Styela clava: one gene and its partner. The protein of the gene in region 2 interacts with the protein of the main gene of each other region in a biochemical or structural test. Links are inferred from orthologs where the notes say so. Each region holds a gene or a part of one and is shown on either strand. Other genes may lie near its edges. The genes, in order: ADP-ribosylation factor-like protein 3 and protein XRP2-like.

The links.
Region 1: the proteins of protein XRP2-like (region 2) and ADP-ribosylation factor-like protein 3 form a complex in vitro, tested with the Homo sapiens proteins (2 studies listed by BioGRID). The link is inferred for Styela clava from reciprocal best matches to the Homo sapiens genes RP2 and ARL3.

What each region holds. Positions count from the first base shown.
Region 1 is NC_135258.1:8,470,381-8,487,023, reverse strand, and holds ADP-ribosylation factor-like protein 3, read right to left. Parts: upstream 7,349-16,643; 5' UTR 7,067-7,348; coding exon 7,064-7,066; intron 6,973-7,063; coding exon 6,829-6,972; intron 6,362-6,828; coding exon 6,194-6,361; intron 5,745-6,193; coding exon 5,559-5,744; intron 5,132-5,558; coding exon 5,081-5,131; 3' UTR 4,724-5,080; downstream 1-4,723. Other genes in the region: heme A synthase COX15-like, read left to right, coding at 615-737, 1,302-1,459, 1,913-2,099, 2,766-3,018, 3,376-3,530, 3,978-4,094, 4,538-4,669. UniProt on the Homo sapiens protein: Small GTP-binding protein which cycles between an inactive GDP-bound and an active GTP-bound form, and the rate of cycling is regulated by guanine nucleotide exchange factors (GEF) and GTPase-activating proteins (GAP).
Region 2 is NC_135256.1:21,843,905-21,860,578, reverse strand, and holds protein XRP2-like, read right to left. Parts: upstream 6,206-16,674; 5' UTR 5,855-6,205; coding exon 5,544-5,854; intron 4,339-5,543; coding exon 3,582-4,338; 3' UTR 2,629-3,581; downstream 1-2,628. UniProt on the Homo sapiens protein: Acts as a GTPase-activating protein (GAP) involved in trafficking between the Golgi and the ciliary membrane.

The DNA of each region.
Region 1 (16,643 bases), on a different chromosome or scaffold from region 2:
AATTTAAAAAGCAGTCAGCACTCTATCATAGAACTAAGCTACAATACTATAAATACAAAAATAGCCTATAATGACGCTTTCTTGTAGCGTAATATTCAATCCATAATACGGTAACTTTGGGAGTTCAAACTGTCTTTAAATTTTAATCTAACTATGTTCAACTCGCAATTGAGTCCACCATAAAAAAACAATATCTAATACATAATAAGGCGACACCAAAAAAATCAAAATTACCATACTCGCCTAATAAGACGACCACCCCAAAATCAGGCCAAAAATTTGGGTCTAGAAAAGCGACTTATTCGCCGGGATATACGGTAAATGCTGAAATGAGGAACATTATATATTTTTTATACATTGCTTTTGCTTTGCCCTATACAAGAGAATAAATCACTTGACTTTTTGAATACAGGATCTCTAGTTGGATTACTGATTTGCTGCATTCAAGTCCATGCTTCCAAAAACAAATAACTGGTTAACTAATCCCATACCCGACATAGACTTGTAACCTGACGAGAAGTTGTGGTTCACCATATGATTAAGCCGTCTTATCTCCTTTCCTCTCCCCCAGGATAAATATGTAAATCCTATTCATTCATAAACTTTTTTTTCAGCGATCGGCTGTATTCAAATGGGTTTCACCTTTGCGTAAGTCTGCAGATATTGCAAAACAACTCCCAATTCATCAGCCTGGTCAAAAAATAATCGGATGGTGGCTTGCTGGATGTTGTGGCCTGGTTTGTTTATTTCTTACATTTCTCAGTTAGTAAAGAAAGGCTGACATGACAGTCTTATGATTCAAATCATTTCGTACTCATTTCAGAATGGGTAGATAGTATGCCTTAACTTGAGTTAATTGATGAGTTTATATGTGAATTTGCATAAAAACACTGTCATGAGTCCTCAATTATAAATGGGAAGATTATTGACAGAAGAGTGAGTGAGTCACTCATGATGAGATGGTATTTTTATAACATATCATCATGCAATACAATACTGTTAACCGAAGGGAATTCGACAAATTGGGAGTCTTGAAAAAAAAATGTTGTAGACAAGCAATGTATGAATAGGAAAAATATTAAGTTTAGATTGTTATAAAATGCTGCGCAACTGAATAACTTTTCTGACTATGGAGGACAGTAAAATGGCCCAAGGTGGCCAAAAATTTGTCCTTTGATATATAATTTATGATCTTGAAGGTCTGTATTCTGACTGTATAATATGTCTGTGTTTTTATAGATATCAATTCAAAAATGTTCCTGGTGATTGCCACTGATTTATTTTTCTTTTTGTCAGGGTAGGTGGTTGGTGCTGTCGTTTTGGGTGGTGTGACTCGACTAACAGAATCTGGGTTATCTATGGTTGATTGGCATCTTATCAAAGGTATGAAACCACCAACTTCACAAGAGGATTGGGAGAATGAGTTCAACAAATATAAACAATTTCCTGAGTTCCGAATGTAAGTGTTTGATAAATATTCTGATAAAATATAAATACTGTGAATAAAATGAAAATGCAATGAATTCAAAATAGGAAAAATTTAGGAAAAATACTAAAAATATAAGTCAAGTTATAAAGTTGTGTCTGTTTAAAAATCGAATATTAATAATCAAGATGAAGCGAAGTAACACTAAAATCCTAGATCACTTCATTAATGGTTAACTCTGGTTATCAAATACTTGAAGAGATTCGAGTACTCTAAATAAAATTACTTAACTAACCACGACTGCGATTCGAAAGACCTGTGACTTGACTTGTGACTCGGTTTTAAGGATTTCTACCCAACAATGATTAAGCTGACCTGAGGCTAGAAATGACTTGCTCTCAGCCTGTGAGATACCCAACCAAACATTCCTCACTTGACTAACATTAGGTTAGTTTAATATTAAAAATCAAGTTTTTACATTTTCAGATTGAATCATGATATGACATTGAAAGAATTTAAATTTATCTGGTACATGGAATACAGTCATAGAATGTGGGGAAGATTAATTGGTGTCGTCTATCTTCTACCACTTGCTTACTTCTGGAAGAAAGGTTGGTTAAATCGAGGAATGAAAATCAAGTCAGGATTACTGGGAACTCTTCTTGTTTCACAGGTAGTATTTTTTAGAAGGGAATCTGGAACCAGGTCTCTGAAATTAGGAAAATTTACAATTGAAAAACAATTGATGGGGGGCCAGATGCTTCCAGTCACTTCTTGGCTCCTGCTTTTTTATTGACCTTCGCTGCTGCCTTGGTTTTTTTCACATTCCCGGTCTTTTTGGTAGTTTCCTTGATGACTCCAACAGCAACAGTCTGTCGCATGTCGCGGACGGCGAAACGACCAAGCGGAGCATAATTCTTGAACGCTTCGACACACATTGGTTTGCTTGGAACAAGTCTGACCATAGCTGCGTCACCAGATTTCAAAAATTTTGGTTCAGCTTCCAGTACTTTACCAGATCTTCTGTTCATTTACAATTGGCTTCAAAATATCTCCATATCGTAAAAAATTTCACTCTGACCCTTGCTCAGGGAAAATCAAATATTTATAACAAAACTTTCGCTAACCTTCTTTAATAGACATTTAAGAACACTTTATATCTAAGTAAACTTTATATCTTCTTTAATTTCTGTAGAAAATTTGCGTCCTTTATACCCAATGAAAGCTTGCAGTTCCGACTTCATTTTCGCAAAATTTGAAAATAAGACTCCAGCTCCACTCCACTCTGACTCTAAATTAAGTGTTTGTCGGTCCTTAACTAGATTTTCTCTTTTTCAAGGGACTTATCGGTTGGTTCATGGTTAAGAGTGGACTCGAAGAGAGGTTTGCAGATTCAGATGTACCGAGGGTCAGCCAGTACAGACTCGCTACACACTTGGGTTCAGCATTTCTACTTTATACTGGGATGCTATGGATGTCATTAACGCAATTACTTTCCAAAAAGTCTTTAAATTTATCAACAACGCGAAAATTGGTGCTTCGATATCATGCATATGGCTTAATGAGCCTTGTTTTTGTTACTGCTCTATCAGGTTGGAATTTTTAGTTTTTGAAGTTTTTTTTATTATTGAAGTTGAGGCCAATAGCATCTCCAGAAGTGTGTGTACGAGTATGGAGGTAACTAATTTTATTTGCCTACTTTACATCAAGTTGTGGGACTGAAGCCTATGGGCAAGGGGTATATTCACTTGCCTAACACAGACAGTCCCCAAACTCATAATAGAACTGAAATAAGGAAATTCAGAAAAAAATTATGGCCTGTCTCGGTACACACATGACGGGAGTACCCTTTTGCTTGCATATCGATGTTTGATAGCTGCCTGATTGGGATACACTAGATATCTTCGATTATTGTTTGATTTCTTCTGAACACATGTTTTGTTCTCCAGGTGCATTTGTGGCTGGTCTAGATGCAGGACTTGTATATAATTCATATCCCAAGATGGCAGACAGGTGGATACCAAGTGACCTAACAGCGTTCACCCCGAAATGGCTTAATATATTTGAAAATCCTACCACTGTGCAGTTCGATCATAGAATATTAGTAAGTCCATTTCATTCAAAACTAATTCAGTTATGGATTTTTTGAGAACATGCTTGCCACTGCACCACCGATACCTGTGCAGCTTTGCATCCTATGGGGATAAGGCAGGAGTGGGCATATTACTATCCGTGGAAATGGCCCACTGAGGTGTTTCATCTGGCCCATTTGTGTCTGTTGAATTTCTGTTGAATATGTCGATAAAAATAATGTCATAATGACCCGAATTGTTACTTAGTGCTTCTTATTATTATATAACCATTAGCCCAGCTGTTGTAAATAAACTGTTTTTTATTCATAGTTTTTCATATCGAGTTCTAGCCCTCCGTCGCAGTAACCAAGTCTTTTATATGAATGTAATAGGCCCACTCAAAAAAGTAATTGCCTACCCCTGGGATGGGATTGTTGGACTCCTCGATACAGTTTCACCGGTATTATTTTATCTTGCAGGGTCATCTTAGTTTAGCATCAGTCATGAGTATGTGGTATATGGTACGAAGATCTTCAGGTGTCCATTCACGCGCCATACTTGCATCTAATTTTATGCTGGGAATGGCTTTTATTCAGGTGAGTTGTTGTTAAATTAAATCTTATAAATTGTATAATAATTTTTCATGAGGAAATTTCCCCAAATCAAGGTGAAGTGCCCCCACTCAGTGATTCGTCTCCAAGAGATGTTATGGGTGGCTACTAGAGTGCCAAAGAGCTGCCGAGACTATAAATCATTATAATGTGGAATTGCCTAAAAAAATTTGTTTATCCTTGGAAAGAGCAAAGTGTGTAAAACTGCAAATTATGGCCGCTTATTTGATTTTGGAGAAATTTATGCGGGTAGATGGCCGCTTATTTGATTTTGGAGAAATTTATGCGGGTAGTTATATCACTAAATGGTCCATATCCCCGCACACTTAAGGTAAACAGAGGTGCTTGCCTCTTGCCTTCAGCAATTAGTGCTGGTGCGCCTTGTTCAGTAATGAAGATCTGGTTACAGTTTTCTAACATATCTCTAGGTACTGTTGGGAGTAACAACTTTGCTGACTTATGTTCCAACATCTACAGCGGCCATGCATCAATCAGGGTCTCTTACTCTCCTATCATTCACGACATGGCTGGCTCATGAGCTGAGACGTGTACCTAAGTAAGCAAAACTGACTATTCCACCGCAGAGACTATGCACAGATGAAGAAACAAAAGAATGGCAGAATTCTACAAATAATATTGAATTTAATAAATATCAGCATTTTTTTACAGCTTGCAAATATAAATACAATTATGTCATTTCCTAATGTACCATTGAAAGCACCATATACACTTTTAGGCAGGTTATGTCGATAAATTTAAAAAGCAAGACGTACAGAAAGGAGGTTTGTTGCTATAAACTAGCAAATACTTAGAAATATTCGGTCTGATAAAGAACCAAGATATATATGCACAATGAGCACAAACGATGTACAGATTTTACAAAACGCAGTGATGGTGGAGAACTAGGGATGCCACTGGCTGGATTGAACCTGAAGTCCCATTTTACAATTAAACAAAAAGCACAAGGTTGTTCACTTTTTCTTGTGTTTAGTAACATTCTTCATCACCCATTCCATGCCATCCTATGAGAATAAGTTAAGAAAAAATATATTCACTCGTGCGACGCTAGGGATGAAATCTTACTTTGTATTCTGGTGTAGTATTCATGCACACGTTTGGACGATACAAAAGCCAGAGTGCGAGTTATGCTTAAATTCTCATATTGGAGTTTCAATATAGGCAAAGAGAAACTAGTGGAAGCCACCTACAACCAATCACTTGAATACTAATATGTTGTTAAGTAGAGAATAACTTTCCCAAGGCCCACACACCATCTGGCATGGTTGCAATCAATGGTTACTGTAGTTGTTGAAACTTAATATTTATTGCTCCATCTCAATTTACTTATGCTGTGTCAGTTTGCGTATCAATGAATAAATAATATATAAGGTAACAAATAATTCATAGCACTGTCACAGTTCGGCAAACACAATGTCTATTTTGTCGTACCTGAAGACCTTCTCCGCTTAATGCTGAACATCCTTGTATATTCCAATTTCTATCTCGTAATTTAGCCAGTCCGAGTCCCTCTGCTACTTCTGACGCCTTGGCTGAGTGTAATAAGTCCTGCTTGTTGGCATAGACAAGAACTGGAACTCCCAACAACTTATCTTCATTGAATAACTCCTCCAATTCCTTAGGGTATTGAAAATGTTACAAAATTAATTCCTAAATGTCAAAATCGTTTTTTTGTATTCAGCCGGTTCGCTAATTTTACGAGATCAGCGAACATTTTGTAACAGAACCGGGTGAAAAGAACCGGCTGACAAAAAAATTGAATTGAATTCCACCACTGTATATAGCCATTTGATAACTCATATGCTGGAAAAGCCTAAGCCATTTTTAATCAATTTCCTAAGGGATGTATTAAACAAAGTCTAAAATTTTGTTACAATTTTGGCTATAAAGATGAACACCTCAAACTGATGGTGGAACAACATCTCCATATTTTAATAAATAAAGGGACCCTAAGAAAAATCTTCAAAAATTTGGTTTTGCATCACTAATAGTTGATAAAATGCTACATGTATCCATAGATCAGTTAAGATTGTAGAAGTCCTATTGCTACAAAATATATTACTCACTAAATTTGTTTCCTCTAATCGAGTTCTATCAGCACTATCCACAACATAAATCAGCACATCCGTGTTTTCGAAATAATTTCTCCAATATGGTCTGATTTTCCTTTGACCACCAATATCCCACACATTCAATTTGAATCCTTTTGTTTGAACACTTTTTATGTTGAAACCCTGCAAAAGTTTTTTATAACATAACTCACTTGGTTCATATATTTTAGGCGAGGATATATCTGTATATTATGGTACATTATTAAGTGCATCTAGTACCAACAAATAAATATCTACTGTCTTCATTAAAATGATTATTAAATTCATCACAACTGGTTAACCCATATAATAGTACTCTTTAGACAGATAGGTTTAAAAGCTTTCCTGACAGCTAGGTAAAATTAGACCGGTTGAGTATGTAAATATGTGTGTATTTTTCCATGGATATTTATTCAGCCCATCTATGGCCAAATGTCTTATAGGTCCACATGAATTTGTGAATTATTATTTTCAAACAAGGCTACAGTAAATCAAAACTCAGTCTTGTGTTCGGGAATTTATTAGAATCATTATTACTACGTAGCCTACTATTAGATAAACTAAGAAGAAAGGTGCCTATCCGCTGTGATATTACCAATAAAATTTAATACCTGTGTGGGGGTAATGTGTGTGACATCTTCTGAAGCTAGACTCTTCAAAATTGTTGTTTTACCGGCATTATCAAGACCAAGCAAAAGTATCCGCATCTCTTTGACACTGTCAGATTTAAGTTTCCTCAAATAACTCAATAACCCCTGAAAGTTGTAGCAAAATATGGATACATAGTAAATTAAATAAATAGTAAAATATATAACTTGTAAAAGCGATAACGCTCTAATGTCTCACCATTGTATTCCAAGATCTTCTACAGTATCACAAAAGTTTAGAAATTGTTGTCAAAAATCATGCAGAAAAATTGTAAATTAATCTTCAATTTGCAGTCCAAAATTTCTGTCGAAGATTAAGAAGTAATGAACAAAATTCTCGTCTCAGTCACAATTTATCAATTTCGTTTCCAATCTATTCCAAGAAGAACGTCAGCCACAGCGGTACGGACCCTTTTTCTGTTTCTGTCTTTTCCTTGAATACTGGTTATGTTGAATATTAGTGAATGTAAATATATCAGATCTGCAGAATAAACATGAAATAAAGCTATAGTTGAAGTATATAATCAAAAAAGCTCGATCCCATAAGAAAAACGCCGTTCTAATTCAGTAGAAGTCCTAAACACCTGCTATACTTCAAAAAATGGCGTTGTTAGCGACAGAAAGCTAGAAAACAAATAAACAAACCATCTGATTTGTCACGCACAGCTGACCAATAGCATCACGTGATCGATTATTGTGGTGGTGTGCCGGATTATGCGATAGATTAATTTTAAATTCTATCAATCAAAGATTAAATCTCTCGAGGTGTTGTAAAATACAGTTATTACTGGTTATTATTTCGTTTTAAAATTACATATAAAAACTGAGGTTAAAAAATTAGAAACCTATATATTACATTTACAGTATTGCCATATCATTGTGGGGAGTCGGGAACCTCCAGAAGCGCATGTCAAGATAATTTTTGCAAAAGTATATTATGTATTAATCACATAACTAACAATGCTATAAAATACACAACTTATTAAATTAGTACACGTCGGACACAATACTGTATTTCAATAAATTCTGTTTGCTCGATAGCTTTATGCTAAGATTACTATTCGCCGCCATGTCGCTTATTTCACAGTGCTGAAATGATCGTTCGCCTTAGGCCGCGAGACGAAGCCGTTTATCTTTCAGTTTCGTAGCGCACATAGGAGGACTACTTGGAAATAATATCAAAATGTTCCTTAGAAATTTAGTAACAAATAATATCTTGTTCCCATTTCCAAAAGTTGCACGTTTTACAAAAAAGACGCCTTTACTGAAAGAAATATGTGCTACCCCTTGGGTTATATCATTGAGGTGTATATATACACCTCAATGGGTTATATACACCTCAATGGTGCTACCATCTGTCCTATATTCTCTGGGCAACATTGGCCAATGATCGGTGACTTCTGCATGACGGAACAATTAAAATTTGATCAGCCGATGGCGGCTTTTAGGTATTAGTTAAGTTATGCTAAGACGCTATTAAAAACTATGAGTAAGTTATTAAACACCCTTAGATCCTAATAGCAATTTTAGTTCATCACTAGCTCATATAACGTTTTTAAATAAGTACTGTGCGGCGAAAGGTTATACTATACCTTGAAAGATATGCCACAAACAACGATACGGTATTTTTATGATTGTATGAAAGGTACATGATTAATTTAATGACGATTCTTGAATATTCAGCAGACTTATACTACTATATAGGCTACTACAGCATATTTGCTTCGGAAAATAATGACCGTTTTTGTAATGCACGTTTGCGAGGAAGAAAGAAAATAACCAATTTTACTGATGTTAGGCCGTCTTGAAGATATTAAGCGATTGAGAGGTGAGAAATAATGTATCAAGTTGTAGGCTGACAGTTGATGTTTTAAAAAATACAAGACATTTCAAACTGTGCGATTCATCTAGATCAGTGTAGATATAGTCTAGCATGAAAACACTGCAGGACTGTAGTACATCAGATGAAATTCCATGTGCAGTATAAGAAGTATTTAATGGTATTTTTATGTTGTGTCAAATATGATTTTATTCGTCATTTCAGATACTGCACTACAAAGAAAACGCCACCAATGTTCTACCAATCCAACCTAACGCAGGCTATCGTCGCTGCTGCGATCAGCGCTATACCTGTAAGAATAAAATGGATCGAAAAAGGTATATGAAAATCATAACAGTTGCAAACAGCTTAGATGGCTATTCATATTGAAATTCTTTGGCATTCTTCTAAACTTGAAACTTCCCATCGCACTGATGTTGGAAGACTTGAAACTCATTAAGCTTTTTTCTCAACTATGAAGATCTTTTGAGTTTAACGGGGCATCTATAAATAAAACTGAAGAATTTGTTCTATCACTGTATAAAGAGGATATAAAAAATGTAAATGATACAAGGGCACGCCTTTCCAAAACCGGCAAACATATGGATTATACTCTCACACCCAACAATGATTCACTACAGAAGCATGTTCTGAGGGCAAATTACTGTTGTCTAGAACCGAAGCCAATTATTCCCCCACCTATTGGCCATGAATGGGGTTTTGATGATGGTGTTTTGCGGATTAACTTGATGGATCCAAATCAGTTATGGAGTTGGCAAACTGCAAGTGTAAGAAATATAGGTGTCAAAATAATTTATGCATATGTGTCAAAAATAACCAAAATTGCACAGAATTTTTGTTTTGTGTCGACTGCAAAAACCACAGTATACGTATAGACATAAGGGAAAAGTTGATTTTCGAGAATGAGGATGTCGAAAGCAATTCATAGGAAAGTGAATTATATATAGATATGCGTTCGTGGCACCGCCACAATATGCGCAAATTTTGATGACGTCATACAAAAAACTAATCCCATGTAGCTCACAGAAATATTTAAAATAGATAAAAGTAATAGCCTTCTAGCAAAAAATACAATCTTTACCACTGAAAATTTCAAAGCAATCGGTCCAGGGTCCTGTAGCCTAATTAAAGGGAAATGCGATTTTTTCACAACTATAAGAAGGAAAATTCTAACATAAAAAACGAGAACAACAAAATAATAAAACGACTTTGTCCAACAACATATTAACAAAACGATTTATGGGTGCACTTCTTCTCCAATTATCAGGTCTTATCACCGTCATTCTTGGCAATCCCGGACGAAATTAATTACGCGATATCGCGTTGATTCGAGGCACGGCATGCACGAATGAATGAAGGTGGTTCAACAGGGACCGCCGAAATTAATCATTAATCTAATTACACCTAGGAGTTTACATTTAAAAATAGCCTTTAAGTTACATTGCATTTGGAATACATCATCATATTTGACACTATTCCTCAATTCCCATATGGCCGATTTTCCACATTGAATGATTGATTCCTCTTCACTATGAATATTATTAGAAATAATTACCTCACAATTGATTTCCCTTATATTGCACCACTGCCAAAAGTCTAATATCCAATCAAAATACCAAAAGAAATGCATGCAGGTTTCTTCATTTTCATTACAAAATATATATATACACATTTTCCATTTTCATCATCGAACCAATATTTTAATTTGTCTCCTGTGGGTAGAATAGGCAAAATTTTCCAACTTAGAATTTTGTACTTATTTGGGAGTTCATATTTGATTTTTGAATGAAGTTTTCTGGCATAATTTCCTAATTGGCAATGTGCCACACCTAAGACAACATTGATGATTCGACAATAATAATTTTTACTATCATCAATGAATTTCGCCCCTGCCACAAATTTACTACAATTTGAATAGAGTTAATGATTTTCAACCAGTTTTTATCCCGCGATACAATACTGTTTCCTACAAAGTCTCCTAAAATATTCAGCTCATTCTCAATTTGAATACCCCTGTATGATGGCCCTATGTTTAGCCGTTTTGCTGATCCGCACAACGTTATGTTGCATTTTGGAATATTTATTCTTGAGCCTGTAGCTTTCTATTTTAATATCTCGTCTATAGAGGATAAACTTTTTAATGTGACAATAGTGTCATCCGCAAAACCTTTATATTTTACCCTAGTACCTGTACGATTTCGAAAACCTATAATTGCATCGAATGTTGGATGCTAACAATTCGGACGTTATTTATATATAAAGGTGGGGCAAGGGGACAACCTTGTCTAACTCGTGGTATACTGAATTATTTCGATAAATATCCATTTGTTATTATTTTTGCATTGGCGTTACCCATCTAATCAAATAATTGCCAAATTTCAAGTTTTTTTTTAATATTTTGAGATTTATTATTATTATATTATTTTAATTTATTTAATTTATATTCGAAATTAAGTAGCGTAATAAGTGTCCATTTTTCATTTTATTTTTATATCCTTTTTTATATATTAAAGTTATTAAACCAAGACTTGTGTTCTGAGACAGCCACGATTGTTTAAGATAACTATTATAAATTAGCACAAGTATTGGGCGAAATTGTTTCCAAACTTTTGTTAGACCATCCAGACCAAGGGATTTATTTGACTTCATTTGTTTGAAAGCTTATTCTAATTCTTCTTCTGTTAATTCGCTTAGCAGTTCTTGTTTTTGCTCGTTTGACACTTTTTGCTGATTTGAATTATTTAACAAAAGATTTTGACAATAAATGTTCGAATTTTCATCACTCTGATAAAGCTTTTTATAAAATTTTACTTGCTTTTCCTGAAATCCATCACATGTGTAAACTAAAGTATTGTCAGGCTTTCTTGAAAATTTTTGCTTTATACCTTTGGACTTCTCTAAATTTAACAAATATTCAACATTTAACTCTTGCCCTAATTATTGCCCCTTCGATTTATGTTTATAATACTCAGTATGTTCCCCAGCTTTTCTTTTTAGGGGGGGTGTTTAAAAATTTAGGGGGTGGTAAATAATTTGCTGTTAGATATAAAACTAGGCTATTTGTATTCTTAAAAAAATGGTATGTATTTAAGAAACGATGTAGGCTACATGGGGGCCCCCCAAGTTGATTGACGCGAGCAAAAATCCACAGCAGAATGTAATTGTAGGGCCAGAAAAAGGGAGCGAGGAAAAGTGCGGGACGACACGCTCAAGCGCCCTGAGAAAATTTTGAGAAATAGGCACCAAAATAGGCTCTAAGCTTGATTTTAGATACACCTAACATCGCAGTTTGTTATGTAATGAAATCAATAAATATAATATTTAGCTGATAGAATTCCCGGGGAATAGATAACAAGCACGGCTTTCAACCGTAAATATATATTACTACGTTTCAACAAGTAATTTGCAAGTTGCAACTGATAGTGACTAATGAAGTTACTTGCTCATCTGGCATTGTATGAATGGCTAGTTATGGCTTGTTTTGTTACACATTTCTAATTTTTTTGAACATGTTTGTTTGACTTTTGTATGAATTAAATTTTGGAATAAGCTCGTCAACTGATCATAATGTTGTATTCCTTCAGAACCGAAATATTTTGTTGGTAAGAAGACAAATCGCTGAAGTTTGATTCTTTTCAATAAAGAAATAAACAACGCTGTCATTCATCTAAAAAAAGTCTGTTTTCAGTGCCTAGTTTTCGTTTTGTGACATCTTTAAGCTTTCTTAAAATACGGCTGATATCTAAAATACTGCAGTGTGTAATCCTAATACCCATACGTATACATAAGATACCGGAATAATTCAATTGTTACGAAATAAACGTGCTTAAACTGTGATAATGATGTAACAATAGACGGTATCTAAAACTCAAAAGGTACCACATGAAGGGTTAAACTATTTCACTCAAGTTCGGCGGGCCATTTTAAATCGTCACGCGGGCCGTAATTGGCCCGCAGACTGCGGTTTAGAACCCCTCAGTGTGGAATCGCACCTCAAAATTAGGGGGGGTGTTTGAAATTTTAGGGGGGGTGTTCACCCCCTATAGGGGGGGGGGGGGGGGGGGTGTAGGGAAATCACTGAATTAATACTTCATAATTTCTAATTCTGTGTCACGTATTGTTTGAAGAGTCTCTTCGTTTTCTATCTTGCATTTCCCTGTATTTTCTCTGTATTTTACTAGTAATTAATCTTCCCATTGATAACTGTTTCTTTTTTTATTTTACTACAATGAGTTGCCCATATTCTTATTTTGGATATACATGTGTTCCAAAAAGCTCCTTCTTCAGCATTATCAAAGTTACTTAGTTTAATTGCCATGCCTTAAATATTGATTCAATTCTCTGGATAAAATCCAATCAGTCGTTTATTAAATTTCCAATAACCCGGTCCTCATTTTATGAGGACTTCGTTTTGATTCCGACATCTTTGTCCGTAAGATGTTCATCTTTTCTTGATGAGTTTTCATTACTAAAACAGTATTGCAGTATTGATACAATACAAAAAATGTGGATCGTCGTCTTAAACCGGGATGGGGAAAACTACAGCAAAGCTTCGCGTCGCCCACTGGCGACGTAAAAGGATTTCGCAGCTGAGAGCATTAATGAAGTCACGTGACCTGTCGAAAAACAAGTTCGCAGTGGAAACCAAAGTTCCTCCGCTCCATTCTGCATTTAAGAATCACGTATTATAACTGACACTGTCAGAACTAACCGCATTTTGTGTGCTTGTCATACATTTCTAAAGCCGTGAGTACGTCTTTATTCCTGAGCATCCGTACCGGTATACTATATCCGCAGGTCGCGGATAATAATTAATAAATAAACAGCTAAGTCGCCGAGAATAGAAAAAGGCGATCTTCGCCGAGTTCGTTGCTTTTGTTATGTGCGTTCGGGAAATGGCCATCGGGCAGCGTGGTGTGTTCACTTGTGACGTAAGCAAGTGGAGGACTTATCTATTATTTCTTTATTACTGTAGCACAAAAACAAAAGGAATTTTTAGTCTAAAATTTCGAACGATTATATCTAAAGTTGAGCTGTTTTGTTGAAACTTTGTAACGGTACGCCAGTATGCCGAATACTTAAATAGCCTCGCGGTATGTCAGTATGTCGACTTTGTACAAATAAGATAGAATAAATTATTAGACTGTTATCAGGTTTTGAATGGGACGAGGCATGTTAAAGCCCTCACAAACCACAAACTGGGAGAACGCCTCCTAGTACTGCATTAACCCAGCTAGGATATTTTGTGTTTAGACTACCGGTACCTGACTCTGTTCAGCTCTGTCAGTCTGTTTCATTAAAATACTATCGGTATCTTTTAACGATATGGTAGGCTATGTTTGATAGATACGGTAGAAAGATGTGGCGTACATTGTGAAGAATAAGCATCATTCTGCAGTTATTTGTGTATTTTTCTACATATCTGGGGGTTGCTAATTCAGTAATTCAGTAATTACTGGAATATGAAAAACACAAACTGACATAAGCAGTTAGTGCTTTAGTGAAACATAAAAACTGTTAAAGGGCAAAACAGGTTATTTTTTATCATAAAGTCCTGAAGTCTGTGTCTTACTTTAGCAGTTTTTGAGCTATTTTTATATTATGTAAACCAACATCAAGCAGACATACATGAGGTTAAAATTTGTGAGTTTTCTTTTTTGAAATTGTGGGAGTTTGGAAATCTCTGGATTAAATGATTTTCGATTTTCTTCTCCCCTAGCAATGTGACACATTTCTCTGATTCTGCGATTATCTCGATATATGTAAAATACAAGTTAAATAAGGTGCATCGTCTGGGCGTGGTGTCATAATGCTGTAATGTCCTCTGTTTATTAAAAGTTCACGTTCTGCTAATTGTTTTTTGCTCATTACTCCCTAATGCTGTAGTGAAATATTTTCCTTTGGTATATCGGATTACTTTTTATGATTATTCCAATAGAGACATTTTTAGATTGTGCTTTTTTTCAGTTTAATAATGTGCAGCTCTGTATAGACACGAGAAAGCGAACCATGTCATGAATAAGTCATATGATTTCTGTTATATGATCAGATTGTGTCCGTACTACTTGTTTTTGAAAAACTAGTCATTTGACGACCATAATATGCCCTTTGTTAAAAATAAAAAATAAAAACTTATGCCGAGATACAGCTTTCCCACAATCTGACAATGTGTCAAATTTCATATAGTAGAATGATATTTACATTGGAATTACCGGTACATACATTAGCCTCATTTATAATCTTCCATATATCAGAAACAATCCATTGTAAACAACGATTATTGTTTTTAAAAATATCAGAACACACGCAATAAACGGTTTAATGAGTTTTTTGTGTTATGATTATTATTTAAATCAATTCACATGAAGTATTAACTATAGTACAAGGCCAACCAAGTTAAGCAATCTAAGTAAAATACAATCTAAAGAACAAGAACGAAACAGTTAAAACATGCAATGAAATATAATGTAATGTTCATCTCCACCCTCCGGCAGAGGCGCAGAGTCTTTTAAATTAAGAAATGTTTTGTCCAGTTCAGTTAACATTATAGTTCTCCTCAAGTCGTCCTGGCTTGTTGTAGGGCTGTAACCTCTGAAGCGCCCTAGGCAATCTTGGAGCTCTGCTGGTTAGCGATGGGCTCACATGATGACTTGGTTGTATTTCCACCGGAGTGTCTTGAGTAGTTCCTGCATTATGACTCCCAGAGTTTCCAATGTCTTCATCTCTCTCTCCGCTGGGGGGAATTGTTGGTGAGAATGGCATGATCGGCGGAGGTTGAATGATGATGCAAGGTCGTATAAATCGTCTGTTTTGTATAGTCACTCTTCCCGAGCCATCTACTCTGATTTTGTATTGTCTGTAAGGTAGGATTTCTACAATTCGACCAGTCCTGTTCCAGTGTCGTGGCTTGTTTGGGACTTGTGATTGTATAACGACTGTTGTCCCAACTGACAGTGGAGGGAGTTGTCTCGATGTGTTGTTATATTTGTCGATAATGATGTGATGGCGGTTAGCTAGTTTCTGCTCACGTTCCCCTGCAGATATAATCCATTGTGGATGGGGACGGTAATGCTGTGGATTTGTAGGAACGTGATCCCGCAGTTGTCTATGCAGAAGTATCTGAGCTGGGCTGAGATCAATGTCTTGCAGAGGAGTGTTCCTGTATTGTAGGATTGCCTGTGCTGCCTTATTATTATTCAGAGAACCGTCAGGTGATGTGCTATCACGAATGATCCTCTTGGCAGTTTTAACTCCGAGCTCTGCCCGTCCATTAGATTGTGGGTAAGATGCTGAGGACTTTCGATGCTTTATTCCCCAATCAGTTAAAAAGTTCTGGAATTCGGATGAGGTGAATTGAGGTCCACCGTCTGAGTCAAATTCTTCTGGTGCTCCATAGGATGTGAATAACCCACGACATGAGTTGATGAGCTCTTTAGTGATTGATCGATGTGGTGGGTAATGAAAAATACTGATCCAACCACTGAATCTGTCTACAACAGATAGGTAGCAGTGGTTCCCTAGTACAAAGTAGTCGGCGCATATGTGTTGAAAGGGATACTGTGGCGCCGGGCTCGATATCATTGGCTCTTTAGTTTGAGATGGAGCGTATTTCGTGCATGTGAGGCATCCAAATCGAAAGTTTCGGATCATGGCGTTCATGCCCGGCCAATAGACTGATTGGTTTGCTCTTGCTTTCATGCCTGTGATCCCTTGATGCGCAGAGTGTAGTGACCTCAGTATGGTCTTGCGAAGGGGAGTGGGAATAACTATGCGAGAGTCCATTAGTATTACATTGTCTTTAGTTGATAGGCGATCTCTCACACCCCAATAATCCCGGATTTCAGGCGGTGTCCCATGTCTTGTGTTAGGGAATCCATTCTCAATTGTTTTGATGAGTATGTTGTAGCTTTTGTCAGACTTTCCATGGCTTCTAATGTGA
Region 2 (16,674 bases):
AATTCCGGATTTTACCAAATCGAGCTTGACCCAGAAAGTCGTAAACTGACAACGTTTATTACACCATTTGGGATATTCTTGTTCCGGGGGCTACCTTATGGGCAATGTTCCCTCTAATTTTTTGTAGTATGTGTGCGCAGAAATTTTGGTGTGTGCGCACTTTTTTGGAAATGACTAATATTTGTGAAAAAATCAATGAAGAAATTTTGGCGTTCTAACCGGGTAATGGGTGAGCCAACAACAAACTTTCTCAACCTGCCAACCGAGAACATTGTTACATTACATCGAAATAGGTCTGTGCGCAGTAAATCTATGCGTGTGCGCACCCTCTGAAAGCTGTGTGCGCGCGCACACGCGCACACCTTAGAGGGAACACTGCTTATGGGATTTCATCCGCCCCAGAATTGTACCAAAAACGAATGAACCACATTTTGGAAGGATTTTTCAATACGACTTGTCACATGGATGACATAATTTTGAGTACCGACGCTGTGAAGCATGATAAATATTCTAAACAACTTCTGGATCGACTCCAAGAAGAGAGTATGACGCTAAACATTGATAAGTGCGTGTTCCATGCTACGAAACTTGAATGTTTACCCACTCCTACTGGTGTTTCAGCGCTCAGGCGATTTTTGCGAATCAGTTGATAAAATTTACTCCTGATTTGTCAGAACATACAAAACCTTTACGTGCCCTTATGAAGAAAAATAATGCTTTGTAATGGGGCCCAATACAGGAAAAAGCATTTGAGAAAGTAAAGGAAAACTAACGTCAGATCCAATACTTGCAATGTAGAAACCAGAGTTGGAAACCTTTGTATCTGCTGACTCAAGCGGATACGGACTTGGAGCTGTTATGCTTCAAAAGTAATCTTCATGAGAGCTTAGACCTGTCGCTTATGCAAGTAGATATGATTTTACAATTGTGCACGTTCCGGGTAAAATGCTATACACTGCTGATGCGTTGTCCCGAGGACCTATCCGAAAGTTGGACAAAGATGATCAGTTGTTAGCTGATACGGACTGTTATGTTCAATCCATAATGATTAACTTACCTGCTTCAAACTCCAGATTGGATGAAATTAGACGTGAATCGAAAAAAGACGACATCATAAAAGTTGTGGTGATGCACAATGTTAAATTTGGATGGCCGGGAAACAATAAGCAATTATACGGTCCTGTGAATAATTATGGGAACGAGCGAGCAAACTTCAGCATTCATGGTGGTCTTTTGATGAAGGGAAACAGGCTCGTGATTCCAGAAATACTCCGAACAGACATATTGAGATATTTACATGATGCACATCAAGGTGTGAGTATATCGCGTGAACATTCGAATAATTCTGTTTGGTGGCCAGGACTGTCTCGTAAAAAAAGTTGTGAGAAACTGTAAGCTTTGTGAGAAATATAGACGAGATCGAATCAAACCAATGAGAGGAACAGAATTTCTAACGAGACCATGGTCACGAATTGGTGCTGATTTTTTCTATTATAATAGAAACAACTATATTCTAGCAGTTGAATATTATTCTCACGATGTAGAAATTTGCATCGTAACCAAGAATTGGAATGTTAACGTTTAGGCTGAAGATACATTAATCAAGATCGGGCGTTAAAGCGAGGATTTACGGTATGTCAATACATCAGCATTCAAAAGTTAGGATAGGATTTACATATTTATCCCGGGAGAGAGGAAAGCCGATAAGACGGCTTATCCATATGGCGAACCACGGCCTCTCGTCCGGTTACCATTCCAAGTCGGGTACCGGTATGGGATTAGTTTTACTGTATTGTTTGTTTTCGGAAGCATGGACTTGGTGGTGGAGGAAGCCGTAACCGACCAGCGGTTACGTGAACCACCCAACGACGGCGAGGAGTCCAGCAATCCTCTCGCACATAACCATCCCTGCATGGGATTCGAACCTGCGAACCCACGTAGAGTAGTTAGAGGTGCGGTGGCGAGCGTATTCCTAACGCTTAGCCCGTTGAGCCACATCGCCGCGCCAAGTTATTTGGGCTTTTGTTGTCATGTGATTTTTGACCATCTTGACGTTGGCGCTCGTGCCAACACCATGAAGTCCAGGGTCTGACAATTAAGTTAATCTGGTCTGAAAATTGGACGCTTCTGTCGAATTCGGTAGAATCATGGTCCTGTTCATGGCAATTAGATCATCTGATTTGAAATGCTGGAGCAGCAAAAAGCCTAATAACATTGGTACAGACACTATTTTTTGGCGCTTAAGTAGTGTGTGTACCAATGGCAATATGGAGGTACTTAATTTTGTTGCCTACTTTACATCAAGTTGTATAAAGGGACTGGAAAATAGGAAAAATCAGAATGAAATTATGGCCCAACCCTAACCTGGTACACACACTCCATGAGTACCGGTACCATTTTGTTTCAAGAACTAGTTCAGTTACAATAAAGTCATGACCACTGATGATATCACACATATGTAGTTTTAATTTTGGCAACTGATGCGGGGGATTGTCGGCAGCCCCATTGAATCGGGTAATATTTTAGAAGGTCTTGGATCAAGATCCAAGATTTGGCTCAATGTATATTTACAAAAAAGGGAATGCAGGTCCAAATTCAATTGGGGCTATAAATAAAATCACAACTTCATACAATTAGTTGTTTTATATGTTCAGTATCAAAACAATTGTTTAGTACAATACAATAACAGTGCAGTATAAAATTAAAATATCAAGATTATATGAATGGTAGCAGTGCAGATCAAAACTGAAAGCTCTGTTTTTGCAGCACATCTGTCATTTAACAGGTTTCGTTACATTGATAAGATAGATCTCTCAGCAACAGTGCTTGTATGAGGATGTCAAATTATCAATAATATTGCATTATACAAAAACAGGGTAAAATGTGACATATCTTGAAATTTGAGCTGTAACATATCTTAAAACAAGTGCCGTGATGCTATTAATAAGCATGATTAATATTAACCCATATTATAATTGATACACTTTGCACAGTTTGACAATTGACTGAAACATTAATACTTTAGTTTACTATTGTTACATCATGAACATAACAGCCAGCAAACCTATTTTCAAAAATTATTGATTAATACTGATCACCTGCTAAAGAGCATTACCTAAATATGCAAATGAGGCCACTATTTAATCCTATCGACACATATGTTTGTGTCATAAATAAATTGATCTGACACAAGAATAATAATTATGAACTAAAAGCTGGCAAGTCTTAATCATTTTTAAATGTGTCTGAACAAATCATAAAACAATGATTACAAAAGAAATTTGTGTAATAAACCCATAAATCACTGCAGTTAAATTAGTATAGCCTATGAGATGTTGGCAAAACCATTTCATGCACAATATACACGACAAAAACATAATTTCAACAGTTCTAGGTACAAGAATTAAATGCGTCCCCCACATTGTCATGAAATTTCGCATTCCATCTTAAATATACAAATCAATTTTATGACAGATTTTGCATTTAACTTTAAGACAGACACTCAATTAGGTATATTTAAAGAATTTTGCAACAGATGATATTGAACAATAAGATTTAATGCCAAAGCGTATTAAGGTCAATTACATTTGCATATCCAGGCAAGTGAAAAAACGTTCAATATGATGATTTGAGTCTGTTACAAATGTAAGAAGCCCCTCAGCAAGGGAGTTGGTAGCTTCATGACACTTTTCTAAACAATCCGGGCCATTGAATTCAAGCCCAATTACATTGCCTTGATTCGTGGCTTTTAGAAGTTTTGATTGTGTTGATTTGTCAAACATATCTGAAGCAGTTTCTTGAGGAATAGGAATCTGTTTAGATCTGACAAGTGTGATTTGACTTTGCTGAAGCTGACGAATAACACTCATTGAAGTCTGAATTGCTCGGTCATGGTGAAAAAATAAAGCCAGACATGATTCTGCAGATGTACTACCACGTTCACCTGATGTCATTGGAACAATACTACATTCTGAATTGGAAGAAAGTGTCATATCTTCAGGTAAACAACTCTTGTTCAGGCTATCATTGCCATCTTCATTTTCCATTCTCTCTGTGGTGAAAGTCAACAGCTGATCAATATTTGTCTCTTCCGGTATGAGACTCCAATTGGCTCCTTCTTCTGGGTTTGGAGTGAAATCATATATACTGTTCCAAGTGTTGTTCATGATTTCTAATCCAGCATCTGCAAATTGTTTTTCCAATCCTGCGTGGGATAGTTGATAACACCCAAACTTCATCCTGTTGGATGCTTCGATAATAGGTTGTGTCATGCAAAATAAAAATATATCCATCCTGGAGCAATCTCTTGTACGAAACTGTTGACAAGCACATAAGCACCTGTTAGAAATATGAATAACATTTGATGAATCATGTATCAGAATATACCATACCAATATGCAATTTAGACCATCGCTGATTGTTGCTCTCAAAATTCACAATTTTCATTTATCTGAATGTCATGTTTTGTTTGATTTTTTTCAGATGTGTTTTTATTTTGTAAACTGAAACAATATCCTATTCATTAAAATCTTGTTGGTATGACCATGTTCTATCTCCTCACTGTTAAATGGCACTCATATTTCAGTCCTATCGAGTTTCAGTCAACCCATAGCCAATGGCCCCCAACACTAATCTATACACAACCGTTTCGGCGCTACAGAAGTGTGTGTACCAATATGGAGGTATCTAATTCTGTTCACCTAATTTACATGGGGTATATTCACTTGACTAACACAGACAGTTCCTGAACTCGTAATAGATCTAAAATCAGAATAAAACTATGGCCGAACCCTAACCTGGTACACACTCTACGGGAGTACCACTGTTTCCTCTTTTTAAATCAGTAATTCAATTGTGAGCAATTTATGGTAGAAGATTACTTACTACCGGTATATTACTGTCTTAGTAGGCTATACAAGAACCAGGTCTGGTATAGTATAGTATATTACTGTCTTAGTAGGCTATACAAGAACCAGGTCTGGTATAGTATAGTAACACAAGTACTTCTGGTATAGGTAGCTAAATAATTTCTACGTATGTTATTCCTAACCCCCATCTGACAATGTCATCCAAAAATTATGCCAATATGATGTCACAGTGACGTAATAAGGTATAAGGCCCGCCAAATAAACGTACGGTAATCCAAAAGCACTGACGATAACCCATAATCACGCAAGCTAGTTATACCCTCTTGTTTTCTCGTCATAACGATACCGATATGAGATACGATAAGATCAATGGGGTTTGTGAGTTCGTTATCATCTGGTCTGCACAGATGTCATTTCAGGCGATCATAGTTAACTTATATTTTGGCAAGCTCTATGATGTTATTGAGACAATTTTGGATGGCATAGTCAGGTGGGGATTAGGAGTGACATATACAAAAATAGTTATGCCTTGTCAACTAGAGTATCAAAATATAATTGGATTTTTAAGATATCACCTCCACATTTCATCTTTTGTTGAAGTATCATTCAAATATCTGGGTTATGAGTCTAAGAATGAATGTAATTCAGAAATGCAATGAAGAAAATCATACTTACTTGCAATTTTTACAGTTCCTAAAAAAAAGTGATCCTTTAATCGGCCCCAACACAATCTGACAATCAATGCATTTGTCAATTGTGACTGTAGCAGTATAATCCAACAAAAATATTTTGCAATTTGTGCAGTTTTGAATTATAAATTGTTGACCATCAATGCTTCCTGGAAGTCTAACCACAGTTTTGTCTTGTAGCCCGTCTAACGCGAAGTCCTCAACTTTAATTTGTGTACGCTTGTCCCAACTGTACTCTTTTTTTGGTGCCTCCGTTTCAGGCTGCGAATTGCTCTTCTTTGAGAATAAACACCCCATGACTCTGCAACGGTATTTCCTGCTTTCAGAATGAACCGAGGAATGTTAAAACAATCAAAGAGCCGGAAAGGAAAAGCAGACTACCGGTACAGGGCTAGCGGTCGACAAACGGTCGATAATACTTTCAGCCGCGTCACAGCTTCTGTCTCGGCATAGCAACATAAACAAAACAAGAACACATATTAATTTACGGTCTGATAATTACTAAATGATAATTCTATGACAAGGAATTGGCTGAGCGAAACTTGCACCCGTGTTATGTTTGAATGTTAGTTTATATTTTCGTGAAGTAATGACAAAACATAAGATATACAAAAAGCATACACAAGATCATTGGGAAACACGAATTAACAATACCATTGAGTTAAAATAAAAGTAGCTCCTTCTTTCCAGAGAAGGTTAGTCAGCCATGCAGGTGAACGTTCCGGATACCTGATTCGAGAGTGCCTAAAATATTGAATAAAAATAGATTCGCTGAACATTCCTCTCGCCAAATCAACAGCAAAATATCAAATCGAAGTGATTGCGAAAGTTGCAAAACTGATTTACGTTGAAACTTAAAATTAGGTGACCTGTTTTTTGTCCCATTATAACAAATAGGATAAGCATAGATAACAATATATGGCCATATAACAAGGCAAGAAACCAACCAATAACCCAGCTTTGCCAAGTCTATACTATTTTAGGAAGGACAACTTTAGTCCGTAACACATATCACAGCGTTATTCGGAGTGTATAAAGTAAAAAACACCGTATAAAAATTGTTAAAGTAATTCTAAAATATACTAAGAAAATAAAATTTCATGCAGAGAATATTTTATACATGCGTCATTGATTGATTTATTCATTAACTCGCTCTTTTTTATTTGTGCATAACATAATATAACATAGCAATAATCAAATATACGTGCACGATCGCACGGTACCGGTACGAGCACGGAGTTTGCAGAAAAGTTTGACGGACAGGTAAAACGGAGGCAATTGAGTATAACATTACACAATGAAAAGAGTATTTTTTTTAATTATATACAATGAAACGCCAAAATATTTGGGGAAATATTGGGTCCGTGAAAACTTGAAAAATATAATATCAGTAGAAGCCTTTTAGAGGCATATTCCATCTCTAAGGACTGAAAGTTTGTAATGGATTGGTCAATTCGTTACGGACTTCCCAACAACAATTACAATACCAACAACAACCTGAATTTAGCAAACAACCCATAGCTCTACTTCGTACTCAAGGTTACAATACAAGGTTCGATGACAAATTAGTTCTTGTGAGTGGGGCTATATTTCATGGAGGTAATCTTTTGTTAGCAGACTATATTGTCCAATATAACAACGGTAATCTGATTTGCTCCGACAGTTTTGAAATCGTTTATCACTGTCATTATATATTGGTAGTCTAATTTGTGCCTACTTTTGAGGCGCAGCGTAATGAGTCAAGATCTGGATATATTGGACGCTTATGAAACGCTTTTAAAAGTATAGAAAAAATTTAAAAATGGCTTATTTTTATCTTTTAACGAGACCAAAAAACCTAACAAAACTATTATGAAATAACTGCCATATGTGTCATTTATTTTTCAGGTCGCCTATCTAAAGTCACCTGATATTTAAATAGTTGGTTAGGTCAAAGATAACATTTTCTACATGAGTTGTAATTTGACGATTTATTTACGAAGTTCTACTTCAAAGGGTATGCCGATGAATTTTTGATGAAATTTGGACGCCATAATTTTGTAAATTCCATCAGCTGAAAACTTTTGTTTACCCAATTCAAAATAAGACAGCACCCCCCGATACAATGCGATACGAATATTTGGATAGTAGCTGAATATTTGAACGAATTCTTTATTGAAGCATTCGTTCAGTGAAAGAAGAATGCGATATAACTCAACTAGGTTCAACTATATATTTGAAAGAAAGCGCCAAAGTCACAAGAATGAAATACTAGGGCTCGGCGGTGTGGTGCATCGTGCTAAGCGTTAGGAATACGCTCGCCACCGCATCTCTGATTACCCTTCGTGGGTTTGCAGGTTTGAATCCCATGCGGGGATGATCATGTGCGAGAGAATTGCTGGACTCCTCACCACCGTAGGGTGGTTCACGTAACCGCTGGTCGGTTACGGCTTCCTCCACCATCAAGTCCATGCTTCCGAAAAAACAAATAACTGGCTAACTAATCCCATACCCGGCCTGGTAACCGGACGAGAGGCCGTGGTTCGCCATATGATTAAGCCGTCTTATCGGCTTTCCTCTCCCCCGGGATAAATATGTAAAGCCTATCCTGTCATTGGCGTTGTGTTTCATTGCTGGAGATTTGCAGATAAAGCCACGATTTTGAATATGAGATGTAAGATGAAATCATGTAACAATATGCTGCTCAAATTATAGCAAGACGTTAATTGGTATCTCTCGAATTACTTTCGCTAATGAAGATCATTCACATATAATCTATCATCGATGACAGGGGCTCTACATGAAATGTTACGAGTTGTCAAAAAAAAGTTCAAATAATGAATGAATGTCTGATACATGGTCATACGAACGACAAATCCCAGACTTGTTTTCGGACACCATTATTCAGATCAATTTGTCTTGCACAAATGTAAGACATTTAGATACAGGGTCATTTTAGCTCGAGATCCTTTTGACTGATCGCATCAAAAGTATAATGCTTTTCTTTGCTATATTGTAGAATGGAAACGATGTTCCAATGAACTCAGAAATTCATTCTAAAGAAACAGACAATAGCACTCAGATGCTGTGCGTTAGCTGCTGCAGATGTATGGTTGGTACTTTTTGGGCCATGTAAGGAACGCAGAAAAAAACGTCAATTTGGCATTAGTCGGTACTGCAAATTTTATATGCCTTGAAAAAATATTCGTTTTAAAATGTTATATGGGTATATTAACTCTCTAAGTTGTATATAAACTTGAAACGCCCTTCACCCTGATTACAATATAGCATCGCTCTTGAACTATCAATCGTTCGCTTTTCACGTTGTTCAACTTTCAAGCTACTTCAATACAACAATACCTAATTGGACTAGATTACCTCCTAATCTTATATTTGTTTTCGAGAAAAAATTTATTTAACCCTTTTTTTCCGCTGTATACAATCGACTTTATGTACCATTTTATAATATGTAATGACCAGTTAACCAAACGTACAAGGAACACCCCCAATATCTCTTTAAAAAGCTTATTCCATTTTATTGGAATTGGTACCAGGTTTTGGATAATTTTATTTATAATAAACAAATTCAAGTCGTAATCGCCTGGACAATCATAAACACATTATTAAAAAAGTGAGCATATGAATGCTAGCCATATATATATATATACTTTTGCGACCGCATATACATTATTCTGTATACTTTCATAATCAGGAAATCGCATCCCCGTTGACCACTCTCAAGCCAGACCAGGCTTCCCAAACTTTTGAGCTCGCGGCCCCTTTTAATATATTGAGATTTACCGCGGCCCTCGTTCGCGCTAATAATGCTAAACAGCTCGAAATATGCATTTTTGATGTTTTATTGACACAGCTATATCTCAACTTTTAGTAGGCCTACTCAATTACAAAAACAAGCACATATTTATTCAGATTAAAGTTACTTAATTATTCAGTGTAACGGGTGCGAATACTTTTTGCTGCATAGCAAGTCCAGCCTTGGCTCAATGTTTGTTTATGCAGGCCTAAATGATGAATTACAATGTCTGGCCACCGACGGCATGGTACTTATCTGGAATTATTCACTCCTATTGATCAAACTTAGCATAAGACAGCGGTTTGTGTGACGCCAAATTATCATGGAAAAAACTCATGGCGCACCTACACGAAAAATATGCTGCCTGATAATAAAACACAATTTTCAATTTTGTCATCGTTAATATGTCCTTATCTTATCTCTGCCTGGTTTTTCTCTAAGATGCTAAACAAATCTCTCATGTTCAGCAAATGAATAAACTGCAGCCTACGAAATTGCAGCATTTAGGATACCCGACGTAACAAAGCGTACACATCATAGAACAGCAAAATGAATTTGATTCGTATACACATCATTTGCAACAATGAGAAACAATAAAACATATAGAATAAATAAAATATGTTATAAATTTTGAGGCTCACTTAGCAAATCGCCTTCGGGAACCGCTAGCTTAACAATTATTAAAGCCGGCATTGTTATGCAAGCACACGCAAATCGGGTCTTTCGATCAGAATATACATTGTTGTGCAAGCGCGGTGATTCTACTGTGTTTCCCCGAAAAGAAAACCAAGCCTGAATTTTAGAAATTATTTTAATATAAGCGCTCCCTTTTAAAAAAGACTTAGTCGATAGCCCAAATTTTCTTGACCTAATCCCGCGGAAGTGCGTCGTTTCAATTTTGCTAGGACGTCGCAAAATTTCGTGATTCGTGAACCTTTCAAACAACCCATATCTTCTACTTTTACAGAAAAAGGGGAAGATTATATCGATCTTACCTGTGATGGTGTTACAATAAAAAAGTTTAATTCTGAAAATTCGGTTTTCTGTAGATAAAGATTATTTTTCTTGGTTCAAAAAGCGTAGCGGACTCCTATCCCCTTTGCGATTTCGTTTTTATATGAAACAGACTTTTCTACCAAGGCCAATTAAGTATGATTTCACTGACTGTCGTTATGTTTTGTTTGTTCCTTCATATGAAACTCATTGCAAAAAAAAAGTCTTTTATTGAAAGGTATCAATACGTATTTTCACGGGTAGTCGTAACTTGAGCATATTTTTGGAGGGCATATGAAACCAGGCAGAGATAAGATAAGTAAATATTAACAATGACAAAATTGAAAATTGTGTTTTATTATCAGGCAGCATATTTTTCGTGTAGGTGCGCCATGAGTTTTTTCGTGATAATTTGGCGTCACACAAACCGCTGTCTTATGATAAGTTTGAATAATTCCAGATAAGTACCATGCCGTCACAATACAATGAAGTCCTAGTCGATAGCAAGAAAGTTCTACTCAGGAAATTTCTACTTTTTAAATGGTTAATAATCTATATGTAGCAGTTATTTTAAATGAAGACGTGCTATTTATAAGTAATGGAAATCCGTATTCATATTAGGGCTGGGCATTTCGAATCGAATATTTGAATCGAATCGAATAGTAAATTATTCGAATCGGTTCAGAGCTAAATTTCGAATCGCCGCCATCTTGTTTTTGTCTTTCCGCTAATGGTGGAGGGGAATTCCCCAATTGTATTTTCATTGGAGTCATATTTTTTCAACGAAATTCCAACATATGACTATTTTCTGTAGTGAGTTATCGATAAAACGTGTTTGTTATTCTGTGTGAGCTATCTATCTGGGTAATCTATCTGAGTAATCTATCTGGGTGATTTATTCTATGTCTTAGGTAATTCATTTGTTGAGAGGACCAATTACTATAATAAAATCGCTTACAATTATATATTTTCAAGTATTCAAGATTCGAAAAATATTATTCGATTCGATTCTGAAATCACAAGGTATTCGAAAATGCCCAGCCCTAATTCATATTTGGCATAATAAAAAATCTCGTTATTCTCTACCTATTCCGAAAATAAGCCCTAGTGTTATTTTCGAAATAAAATTGAAGACACTGTCTTATTTACACAGTATGATGATGTGTTCATTAGGAATCGTAAAATTTTTGTTTCACATTATTTGTTAATAATTGTATTTCGAATCAAGAGTCTGGAAAAGTACAATAGATATGATACTTTGTGTAAAATTGGTGATCTCTTTGCGGCCCCTAAAATTCGTTTCGCGGCCCGTTCCAGGGCTGCGGCCCCTAGTTTGGGAAGCCCTGATCCCGAGTATACTTTTAAAATAGATGAGTCTTTGTTACATTCTTATTACACTCTTACGAAAGCTTTTGATTGCCACTTTATGTAAACTACATTTTTAAAACAACGTCTTCCCGATGGCCCCATACAGCTGCAATAATTTTTTGTCATTTGTAAGCACATCCTAAAGATATTTTCCAATGTAATTTCCCGTGCAAATGGCAGCTCTCAGTTCATCAATGGTCTTGGTCGTTGCTAGTACACAACATTCTTAATATAACGTCATAGAAAATAACCACACGGTGAAAGGTCAAGCAAACGTGCTGATCCTCCCATATCCCCATACAAATAAACCATATGCGTTGTAAAGGTCTTTCCAAAATGTCTGTTGATTTTTATTGCCGTTTGTGCACTTCGTCCATATAGTTGAAATCATATCGTTGCATTTTCTCCAAGACTTTTGAGTTTTGACATCATGCAGCATCTGCACATATCGAGCAGAAGTAACCGAAATTGCAGTTTCCTTCTATCAAAAAAGAAACAAAATTTTGAAAAATTGCACGTCACACTGTTACTCGCTCGCGTTTATCGTATCTTTCTAGGGCTACCTTCTGCCCAGTATCAAGTGTGCTTAATGACAAAATGAAATTGAGCTTCAACACTGGTCTTCAGGAATTTATTAGCAAGAACCTTTTCGGTTACATATTCTTTATTTAGTGAGAAAACATTCCGCAATAAATACACGCACGATGTTCACTTGTCCAAGCCATATTTATGCACCAAAGATTTTCCTAAAATTCATAATAAATCACTTGTGATTGAAATCTATAGAAAACAAAGGAAAGGGGTAGTTGCTTAACAACATAAATCTACTTAAACTAAGCAAATAACTGCAACAGCATTTCCACAGTGAGGATTTAGAATGTGGTAGCTTTTTTCGTCGACATTGAACGTTAGAGCGAATCTCTAGCAAACAAATTGCTTCTTTCTCCAACTATTAAGCAAGATTACCATTACCAACATAACTTTTTTGCAAACTAGTAATAATGACTGAGAATACAACAAATGTTGCATTTGTAGGATATATTTGAACGTTATAGATGCATGTGACAGCTGCTGGCATCGCCTGGTTTAACAGCAATAGATATTTCTTTATATTTATTTTGGGAGAGCTTTCATTTGAAGGTCACAGCTTTCTCATATTAATTCCTTATTGGCATAATGTTACATGTTCAATGCACGTGCAATTCATTTTTTATAGTCGAACCATTCTTTGAATAAATCGTCTTGAGTTGTGACGCCTCCATTGTAGTGAACTATATTTCATGGTCAATCGTTTATTTATCTCGTTAATAAATTGCACAGTTGATGCCATTGTTGTAATCGTCTCAGATGACAGGGTGTGAGTGTCCATGGGTACATATAAGAGTGAGGCAATAAGCGACAACAACACACTGAAGCTTTCGTAAAATCAGAAGTTGCAAATTGTGATTTTCTTATTACATGTCCTTGATAACGCCATTTTCCGTATTGCTGTCTTAAATTCCGCAATTTGAATCGACCGATTGTCATGATGTTAATTTGATGAAATGTTGTCAGCTCTCATCAATATAGTCCTACTTTCCGGGATAGTATTTGATTCATGCCAAGGAGGCATTGCATTATCATAAATCAGACGGGTTTTTATATCATGCAAAGCGCTTCAAATTCTCTGCACAGTGACCGACAGACACATCGTCATTAGTTGATGTAAAATATGAAGTGTGACACATCGAACCCAAGTACTGAACGACGAGTGCAAATCCAGCTTGTTATCTATTTACTATATTTGCTAAAGTCGTCTGTTGTTATTGTTGTAGTATTTGTCTGTTCCAATAACATTATAAACCTCCATTAGGGGAAAATCATTCCAATTTATCACTCCTTCCGATATTTTGTTTGCTATTTCATAGAGTGTTTCCTCCTGGTAAGGTGGACAACCGTTTTCTCTTTTTATTAATACCCAATGTCATTGTATGAGTGTATTCATACTGTATTGTGAGCATTGATTGTATGGTATAAAATTACTTAGTATCGGTATACTGCTGTCCAAGTATATTCGATTTGTTCAAAAAGAATTGTTTTGAAACAATTGTTTTAAATCAAGTTTTTTCTGCCTGTTTTGTTCAAAATGGCTGTACTGTTTGATTTTTCTGTATTAAATAGGTTGAAGAAAGATGGATGTAAAAACTTGCCAAGCGCTTCTTATTTGCAATAAAATCTTCAAAACGCTACAAATATCGATGGAGGTTCATACACACCTTCTCAAGCTATAGTTCACTCGACCCTGCTACGACGAAACCACTTTGCAAAAATTGAAATGAGTTTGATCGAATAAATGAGTTTGTATAACCTTGAAACACGCTATCACCTCAACCTTAAAAACAAAGTATGCTAAGCATAAATTGACCGAACCGTAATAATACCTTCATTTTATGAGAAAAATGCCAATACATGAACTCGAAAACCATATTATGGCGTCATAACAAACTAGTTGTGGCGTCTTTGCACCAGAGGACTCTCACAATTAGCATAGCCTAGGCCAGGGATTCTCATCGTTTATATAAGTAGATTGCCGCCGATGTAAGCATACCGGTATTCTTCATTATCGCAACCCACTCGATTTGCCGAAGGCTGCCCTTGATCTAATTGCTTTTGTAGTAGGCTCGTGAGCTAAGTTTCATGATTTTTCTTGCTCAAAACGTTTCTCTGATATCTCGGATAAGCATTCCGGTTAAAATCTTATGACTTTGGTGGAGATAAAAACGTGGCGATAAATGTGCGCAATAGAAGTAAATATCAAAATAAGAATTTTTACTTACATTTTCAAAATTATATTTCCGGCTGCGTGTGCAGCTGCCAGGATGCAACGTTTTGTCGCGGCGATGCGAGGGGTATTCAAATTGATTCAAAACAAGCTCTTGTTTGAAAACACGATGTTTTTTTTTAAATTGATAAAAAAACAAAACTATATGGCGATGTCGCTGGCATTCGAGAGTTAGTTATCGACGGCGCAGACACCAATTCAGTCGATCGTAGCTAACTTATACTTTGGCAAGCTCTATATTATTGTGACAATATTTGAACGACATAGTCTGGTAGGGGGTTAGGAGTGACAAATACAAAAATAGTTATGTCTTATATAAAATGGATTTTCAAGCTATTACCCCTCATATTATTTTTTGCTGAAGTATCATTCAAATATCTGATTAATGTTAGGAGTCTATGAATGAAGCAGACTTATTGTAATTCAGTAAAAATAATCGGATCTAGTGTAGTTCCGTACCTCAAGTACTTCTAGTGTGCGCAGCAAAATTTTTGCATATGCCAATCCTAACCCACACCTGACTGCGTCATCCAAAAATTACGTCACAGTGACGTAACAAGGCCCTTCAAATTATACGAACTGCCATTCAAGACGCGCAGACAATCACCCGAAATCGAGCAAGCTATTTCTTTTGTTTTCTCGTCGCAACGATCCCGATATGAGAGAGATAACCGCCGTTGGTGAGTTCTTTCTTAGTCGGCGCAGATGCCATTTCCGGCGATCGTAGGTATACTTTATCAAGCTCTATGGCGTAATTGTGACTTTGTAGCGACATACTTTTTAGTGGGCGTAGTAAGGTGTCGGTTAGGATTGACATGTGCACGCCCACTAGAAGTACTTGAGGTATTACACAGGCACAGCTTTAAGATCGGCATAGCAACATAAACAAAATGAGAATACATATTATTTTACAGTCTGATAATTACTAAATGATAATTCTATGAAAAGGAATTGAGTGAGCGAGATGACACCCGTGGCATGTTTAAATGCAGGTAAACGTTTCGGATTCCTAATTCAAGAGCAGAGTTGGATCAATTGTAATTTGTAATTGATGTAATTAATTACAGTTTTTCATGTAATTGTAATGTAATTAAGGCATTTTCAGTCTGTGTAATTGTAAATGTAATTGTAATTTGCTAAAATTTTGGCTCAATTACACTTTCAATTATACCAGGGATCACCAAACTACGGTGTCCTTTCATCTGGCCCGCAATAACACGGAAAAGGGCGAAATATTTTTCCAAGGGGCGTTTTCCGAGAATCGCCTTACTTTTTTATTTCGTAACATTAGCCAATCAGCAAGATGCGAAAAAGTGACGTAACACTATGCCTTTTCGCATTTGTTAAGTAAAGTTAAGTTCTGTAAATTTTCGCTACGCGAAACTCGGAATTTGTTTGAGGGTGGCGGTAGCGTCAAGGGTAAGGACTGCTTCGCTCTGTGTAAGGTGTGCATATATTTGTAGGGTTTTGTTTTTTATCAATTCTAAAAAACATCGTGTTTTAAAACAAGGGCTTGTTCTAAATCAAAATTTTTCTGTATTTTTTATTGAAATACCCCTTGCATCGCCGCGAAACTACGCCAAAACGTTGCATTCTGGCAGTTGCACACGCAGCCGGAATTATAATTTCAAAAATGAAATTAAAATTTTCTATTTTGACTTTTACCACTATTGCGTACATTTATCGCCTCTTTATATCTCCACCAAAGTCATAAGATTTTACCCGGAATGTTTAGCCGAGATATCAGAGAGACGTTTTGAGTAAGAAAAATCATGAAAATAAGCTCACGATCCTACTACAAAAGCAATTCGATCAAGTGCAGCCCTTCGGCAAAACGAGTGGGTTGCGATAATGAAAATTATGCTTATATCGGCGGTAATCTACTGATATGAACGATGAGACACCCTAACCGAGACTATGTTAATTGTAAGAGTCCTCTGATGCAAAGACGCCACAAATAATCTGTTATGACGCCATAATATAGATTTCGAGGTCATGTATTGACATTTTTCTCATAAAATGAAGTCATTGTTACGGTTAATACTGTTTGGATAATTCATGCTTAGCATACTTTGTTTTTTAAGGTTGAAGTGAGTTTTTCAAGGTTATACGAACTCATTTATTCGATTGCATTCCAATTTT